Linked DNA regions of Pelodiscus sinensis. The protein of the gene in region 1 interacts with the protein of each later gene in a pairwise test. Links are inferred from orthologs where the notes say so. Each region holds a gene or a part of one and is shown in the gene's direction. Other genes may lie near its edges. The genes, in order: PSTPIP1 and UBE2W.

What was found.
Region 2: the proteins of PSTPIP1 (region 1) and UBE2W interact in binary tests that used the Homo sapiens proteins (3 or more experiments, as listed by UniProt). The two-hybrid records come from large-scale screens. The link is inferred for Pelodiscus sinensis from reciprocal best matches to the Homo sapiens genes PSTPIP1 and UBE2W.

Annotation. Positions count from the first base shown.
Region 1 is NC_134724.1:32,682,675-32,686,594, forward strand, and holds the start of PSTPIP1 (proline-serine-threonine phosphatase-interacting protein 1), read left to right. Parts: upstream 1-958; 5' UTR 959-3,335; coding exon 3,336-3,401; intron 3,402-3,920. UniProt on the Homo sapiens protein: Involved in regulation of the actin cytoskeleton. May regulate WAS actin-bundling activity. Bridges the interaction between ABL1 and PTPN18 leading to ABL1 dephosphorylation.
Region 2 is NC_134712.1:53,659,832-53,663,751, forward strand, and holds the start of UBE2W (ubiquitin-conjugating enzyme E2 W), read left to right. Parts: upstream 1-1,040; 5' UTR 1,041-1,636; coding exon of another isoform or gene 1,637-1,651; intron 1,652-1,718; exon of another isoform or gene 1,719-2,101; intron 2,102-3,920. UniProt on the Homo sapiens protein: Accepts ubiquitin from the E1 complex and catalyzes its covalent attachment to other proteins.

The DNA of each region.
Region 1 (3,920 bases):
AATCATCTTGGGAGACAGAGTATAATTTTTAAAAGCATCTCAGTCACTTAGGAGCATGGGCAGCAGGGATAAAAGGCAAGGGAAGTCAATGCCTCCCGTGGGTCTTACCGCTTAACCCCCTCCCCTCATCCTATCCCTATTCTGACCTGGTGACTCTTCCTCCAAAGTGGATCTGTTAACTTAAAAGTAAAAGACTTCCTGCTTGCCAGACCTTTGAGTATAACATTGAACCTGTGATAGAGCAATCAAGTGGTAATGAAACCATTTAACAGGCATGCCGGGCCCTGAATTTACGGACAGAAACAGGTGTGCATTACTCTACCTTCAGGACCTTGGTTTAAATATTTGCTTTAAATATTTCATTAGTTTGTTGTACCTATCCACACACAGATATTTATAGGCACAATCTGAGAATTCAGCTTTAGCCTTAAATGCTTGGCTCTTCAGACATAGCTATTTAAATAAATTCTTCAAAAGACCACCCTTATCTAAAACATACATTTTAATTTTAATTACTATGGCACAAACTTCCTTCCAAAGTCTTCCTCATCTTTCAATCTATCCATACTCTCCTTTCACCCCTGTTGAAGAGAGTCCTTAAAGGGACAACATTCCTTTTCTTCCAGGTAGCTGGACAAATGAGTTTCCCTTTTACTTCTGACAATCTGATGAACTAGTTTTAAGAGAACTGTCCACCAAGATTCTTTACTAAGATATAAAATTCTTTGATATGCCTAAAATTTTTAGAAACATATTTTAAAGATAAACATATAATGAAATTTCATAAACATGTCTTGTTATGAAAATTACACAAAATAAATTGGTGTTTTATTTTTCTAAGAGCAATGAACTTTGTTTTGAACTCACTAAATTGCTCTGACTGATTAATGTCTTTGTTTCAGTGAGTTTAAATATGTAGAAATCTGGAATGATTATGAAGGCTTAACCATATATTTAAAATATAAAACCAGTTTAAAAATACTGACGAAGAAAATGTAAAACAGAAAGGGCTGCATCATATATTCTGTAATATTTAATGTTGTATTCAGCAGGACAACTGACTTGATCTTGCTACAAAGATTTTTAAACAAATCTGACAAACTTCAGGGTATATAAAAAACCTGTGACTGACATTTTTTATTACCAAATTTAGTGTTTTTAATTAAGTACCTTCTGCATGTCCAGTCTTCACAATCTGGCATGCAAAGGAAAACATGCTCCATTTTCTTTAGAAAGAAATTTTAGAGGAGTGGTGTTTTCCCCAAATGTAATTTGTTACATTTGGATTCAGGAGCCTAGATCTCAAAAGTGACCTAAGCACATATGGCATGATCCAAAGTTCACTGAAGTCAATAGAAAGGCTTCCCATTGACTTTGTCAGGGTTTGAATCAGACCCTGGGAATCTAAACCTAATTTGAAAGTCACTAAAATGGGGGTTCCTAAATGTGGGAACTAGGGTCCTAGATCATTTAGGTGCTATTGAAAATTTTACTAGCAACATGAGGTTCTTATTTCCAACCCTGGACTAAGCATAGCACTTTTAATTTCCAGGGGAAAAAAAGTTAAAAAACAACAATGATCCTGTAGCACGTTAGAGACTAACAAAAATATTTAAATAGTTTCAGAGCTTTCATGAGCACAGCCCACTTCTCCATATTTGTCATCTGAAGAAGTGGATTGTGTCCATGAATGCTTTGATACTATTTATATATTTGTGTTATTCTCTACCGTGTTACAGGACCATTGTTGTTTTTTAACTTTTTTTTTAACAGACTAATATGGCTACCCCTCTGAGACTTTTAAACTTCTGGTAATTCATTATCAAATTCACTGGTAAAGAAGCTGGTTCATCTTTCTTATAACTTTATATCAATTCTGTGTAGATACCCTATACAATCTACTGTTGAGGTGAACCTCAGACATAGCTTTGTTTTTTTGATAGCTCTCGATATTTCTACACAGAGGTATGCTGTGTGTAAACAGTGGGTTATAGGTATGTTCATAAACATTTCTATTTCTAATGAGCCTGTGAGCCCTGATATGAATGTGCAGAAACAAACCTAAGGGTACGTCTAGACTACAGGCTTCTGTCGACAAAGAGCGTCTAGACTACATTATGTTCTGTTGACAAAGCAAGCTGCTTTGTCGACATGGTAGTGTAGACGCAAAGGACAGTTTACATGCAATAACACCTTCTGTCGACAGAAACTCTGTCAACAGAAGGCGTTATGCCTCGTAAAATGAGGTTTACCAGCGTCAACAAAACTGCTGAGTTCTGTCGACATTCTGTCGACAGAACTCAGTGGTAGTGTGGACGCAGGTATAGTTTTGTCGACAAAAGTCCACTTTTGTCGACAAAACCCTGTAGTCTAGACACACCCTAAGAGTCCAACATTTCTACAGGCATAATAATAACCATTTGGGAGACGTAGCGTACAGAATATTTAATACACACTATCATAAGTGATATTTCATTTTTCAAAAATGTTCTTTTTCTGATTAAACCATTAAACACTCGATATTTGCCTACTTTCCTTTAAGAAGAAGAAGAAAGAGCTGGAAAAGATTGTATTTATGTGTTGCAATGATACAAACACATAATTTGGTGAAGTCCCTCTTTCTACCCATGTCTTTAGGAGGGTGAGGCCTGATTGACTTGTGCTTTATCCAGGAAGGAAGTACTTAATAGAAGGTTAGGCTATGGTTTTGAGTTGAATTGTCTTTCTAAATTTTGTCGCGGGTGCCTAAGGTAGCAGGCCTATATAGTACAAAAGAAGTTCATGTAGTGAGGGCTACTTTGTGCCCATTGAACACGGTGCCCTATAATTTTCTGAAACAAGTATATTGCTTCTAAATTCATCCACAGCAGGAGAAAGCAATTGGGAGAAAAAAGTGTTTTGCTGATTGAAACAATGGGAAGCAGCACCTGAAAGGCTTTGAAAGTTTAGAGTGGACATTTAATACTGGATGCGGTCTCAAGAAGAAGCATTGAGCATTTGCTGGATAGTGAAAATACTGCTTCTGAGGAATTTTTTCTGGTCAGAACATAATGAAGTTCCATTGAGCTATGATGGAGTTCTCCATTGCTGCACGACTCCTAGAAAACCTATTAATACTGAGACAAACTTTGAAATCTTTTTTTACTTTCCATCCTTCTGCCATACCAACTAGAAGGGCATGTTGAAGTACACCATCTCTGGGGCAATCTGTTTACCTTGGCATCTTTCCTCCTGCATATGCTATGGAGTGAGATTTGTTAGTAAAAGTCCTGGATGAAAAATTGGTGGACTTGGGAATTATTTTGATTTTCTTAACGAAGTTTGGGCTGCTAAATATGTCTTGCCTGTGTTACAGGAGGCTGATGGTCATTCTTGCAGAGGAAGAATGTAGATTTCCTGAGGTGAGGTTCTGACGGCTAGCTAACCTTTTCCAGATAGCCAGAATGAAGGCCTCTCTTCTTTTCCTGACGTCTTTAGTGTCTCAAACTAAAATAGTGCAGGAGAAGGTGTACAACAGCTTCTTCAGCCATCAGATATGGGACCCTCTGATGTGGTCTTTTCCAGTGAAATACACAATAATACTTTCCTGTGGGAGTGACTGAGTGCAAACAGATCCACAGTCAACAGGTCAACAATCTCCAGGGCTACGTCTACACTGGCCCCTTTTCCGGAAGGGGCATGTAAATTTCACTAGTCGTCGTAGGGAAATCCGCGGGGGATTTAAATATCCCCCGCGGCATTTAAATAAAAATGTCCGCCGCTTTTTTCCGGCTTTTAAAAAAGCCGGAAAAGAGCGTCTAGACTGGCCCCGATCCTCCGGAAAAAGTGCCCTTTTCCGGAGGCTCTTATTCTTACTTCAAAGTAAGAATAAGAGCCTCCGGAAAAGGGCACTTTTTCCGGAGGATCGGGGCCAGTCTAGA
Region 2 (3,920 bases), on another chromosome or scaffold:
TTTTTTTTTTTTTAAAAAGCATATAGCTCATAAAATGTCTGGTCATGTGTACTCAAAATCTGTGAATATGTGAATATACATGATGTGCAACACAAAGGACAAGACCACTAGATGATGATGACAGCATTTTTTTCTAGTGTTGCTAAGGGGATGAGATGCCCAGCATCATTCTAGAAACTATCTCAATTATTTGTTTGTGGTAACACAAGCCTCTGGAAATCATGGGATGTCATAGGTGATCTGGCAGATACATTTACACACTCACCCAGACAAATATTAGACCTGATCTGCAACCAACAAGTGTCTACTTCCCCTCTAACCAGGGGATGGTACCACCACCAGCTCAGGCCCTGTTCCCACTCCATCTCTTCCCCAAGCCTGCTCCCCCTCCTCCTCCCAAACACACCCAGTCCCTGCTCCTTTCCTCCCAGAGCCTCCTGCATGCTGAGAAACAGCTGTTTCGTGTATCAGAGGGGTAGCTGTTTCGTGGTATGTCAGATGCACTGAGAGGGGGAGGAGTTAGTTAGTGGGGCTATAGGAGGGTGAGAGATCTTGTCAGCAGATACTGAGCACCTGCTAATTTTTGTCCAGGGCTGAGCACCCCAAAGAGGGGACAGTGCCATAATAACTAGTATCAGACACAGGACTGGTAGCACTTCCTATTATGAAGATTGCCCCACATTTCACCGTGTTTTGAGTTGCATATAACTTCAGCAAAATGTAACTATTTGGGCTGAAGTTATATGCCATTTGCCCTATGTCTGAAGCCGCCTGAAATATTCCAGCTATTTACAAGAACATAAACAAGCCAGACACTGTTTTACCACGTTTAACAAAAATGCAAAGGCTGTTCTTCTCACAAGCTCGAGCACCCTTGCGCTGTGGCTCAGGGGTTTGGGCCGTGGGCGCGGCCTTCCTCTCGGGGCTGCGCTGGACGCTGTCCCCAGTGCAATCCACCCGCCTTTCGCAAACTTACAATTCATGCATTTGACTTATCAACATGTGCACGTGCGCAGTAGAGCCCGTTTCAGCATAATGGACAGTGACACAGTTCTCATGTGACCTCAATGCAGCTTTCCCTGCACGGGGCGGGGGACGGGAGGGGGGCAGGTCGATGCAGGAATCCCACCAGGGTTGCCAGCCCTCCAGGCTGGGCTTGGTGGCTCCGGGGACTAACGATTCCGCTGTAACTGAAGACTGTGCCACAGGAAGAAAGCTGCAGGAATCCGTCCACCCACAACTGGCAACTGCCCATGCTGCCCAGCCCCCGCCTGGAGCCGCTGGGTGCCGAACAGGAGACGGGGGGCAGCCCCGGCTCCCCCGAGGCTCCGCACGCGCAGTGGCCCAGCCGCGCCTGTCGCGCCCCTCCGCCCCTAGCCCCGCCCCGGGCGCGCTCCAGCGGACGGGCCTGCCACGCGCGGCTCCTCCCATCCCGGCCTCGCCGGGCCGGCCTGTGGGCCCCTGCCAGGCGAGGCCGCTACCTAGCGCAGCCGCCACCGCTGATCGCTCGGCGCATGCGCCCTGCCCCTGTTGGTTTGGGGGGCCCACGTGATCTGGCGGGACGCCGCTGCGTCTCTCTCTCTCGCTCTCTCCGGGTCCGGACCGGCGGCGCAGAGGGGAGGGGGGCGGATCCATCATGGCGTCCATGCAGGTGAGGCTCTGGCGGCGGAGTCGGGGCGCCGGGCCGGAGTGGGGAGAGCGGCGCTGCCGGGGTGGCAGGAGGAGCCGCTGGCGGGGTGCGGGACAGCCGGGAGGGCGGCGGTTGGCGCGGAAGCTCTGGCCTCTGGGGTGCCTGTGGGCAGCGCTGGGGAGCCGCCCAGGAAGGGGACTCTGGGACGGGACCTCCCCCCGGAGCGCGAGGGCCCGATAAAGCCCCTGCCTGGCGTGTGAGCGAGCTGTGGCAGACACCCCGCTCCCGGGAAGGGCCGAGTTCGGGTAGGGCCCCCCCCTCCTTGGTGTGTGTGGGAGGAGGCGGGGGCGCTTCACACACTCCCCGGCGGAGCTGGGAAAGGAGAAGAGTCCCCGACCGCCGCCGAGTTCCCTCAAGTGTGAAAGGAATGGCGGGTGTGGTAGAGTCAGCCGGGCTCTTCCTCTTCATTGGGTGCGTGTAAGGATCGTACGGGGTAGGGCACAGAGACTCCCAGAGTGCTCCTAAGGGAGTTTATGAAGATAGGAGGGGGGCATGGCTGCCTGAGGTTGGTGGTGGGTTGCACAAAAAGACAGCCTTGACAGCCGCAGGATTACATTCAACCCTCCCCTATTCGCATCTATAGTAGTAACCTCCCGCCACTTAGTCCACAAGTCCTTTTATCTAAGGACAGGGATAGTGATTCATTTATCCATAAGTATGTTCATTGAAGGATCAGATCACAGCATTCTAGAGGTCTGTAATGCATCCGATTTAGCAGTAAAAGACAGTAGAGGGAAACTGGCTTTTGGGGTTTTTGGGAGAGTGGGGGATAAGGGAGGATCTGTCTCTTGGGACTCTCTTGGTCAGATTATCCTAAATTTGGATCACCAATGCTGCTCTGTACCCCTACAAGGCACACCACGTTTCAAAGCATTATCATTAACCATTTGGAGTATAGTATCAGAGGGGTAGCCGTGTTAGTCTGAATCTGCAAAAGCGACGAGGAGTCCTGTGGCACCTTATAGACTAACTGAAGTGTAGGAGCATTACACTCCTACACATCAGTTAATGCTCCTACACTTCAGTTAGTCTATAAGGTGCCACAGGACTCCTCGTCATTTGGAGTATAGCATACTTAGAACCTTATAGCATATCAAATGGCAGGAGTGGAAATCATGTAGCTGTTTTTTCTGTATTGGCATATGCACAGTGTAAAAATAGACACTTTCTTAACTACTGTTCTCAAATTGGGTTTCTATAGTGAATGCTATGCACTATCTTGGATAAAAATTGAGTTGAGACCATTTTGACCCCTAGCGTAGTACAGCCGCTTCCCAAGTTACAACCATCCGCACTTACGACCAAAGCGGTCGTAAATGCGGATCTGAGTTATGAACAGCGCGGTCACCGTGTAACTATGGGATCTGAGTTACGAACACTTCAAGTTACGGACCAAGTGTTGGTCCGTAACTTGTTCGTAATCCTGGGGAGCAGCTGTAATAGTTTGCTCTCCACGACTGGGCAAAACACCGTCACATAGAAACTTTTTTTAAAATGGCTATTTTTGGAGGGGACTTATATTTCTGGATCTCCTGACTCAGATGACTCCAAATTTGGGTCACTAACTCTTCAACCTCCAGAAAGAAACAGCATTTCAGAGAGATCCTTGTTTTTAGATGATGTAGAAACATTAATGTTTAAACAGGTGTCATGAAGTAACCTTAACTATAGCGCTTCTACACCACTACTCAGACAACAGAGAAGGTGTACAAACTGGAACATTACACGTGGTGTTATACTGATATTTATCTTTAGGGTTTATAACTAGGAATGACATGAATAAATGCAAAAATAATTATAATTAAGCTAGAAAATTTTATGGATGAAATTTTATTAGATTCTGAAATAGTCCCCCCCAAGAAAGTAATGGAAGTCCAGTTTACGTGACGTTTTAAAAAAGGCTGGGTAAAGCACTTAAGGACATACCATATCACATAGTCGTATTCTATAAGACTTGCATGCCACATTGTTTCTGCTGTTTGGTCTTTATTTAATATTTAGAATTCTTTATGCAGCCTGGTTTTGACTACAAAATATTATGTTCCCCAAAGTTTCTGTTAAAAGAAACTCTTGTAGGTGTGTATAAAAACTGTGTGGAAGAGACTGTTGTGACACTTTAAGACAATACTACAGGTAGCTGGGGTTTGAGAGGCCTGTGTTTGTCACTGATCTTTGTTGTGTTCTTGTACAGCTTATTTCACATTTGTTTCTCAGTTTGTCTCTGTAAAGG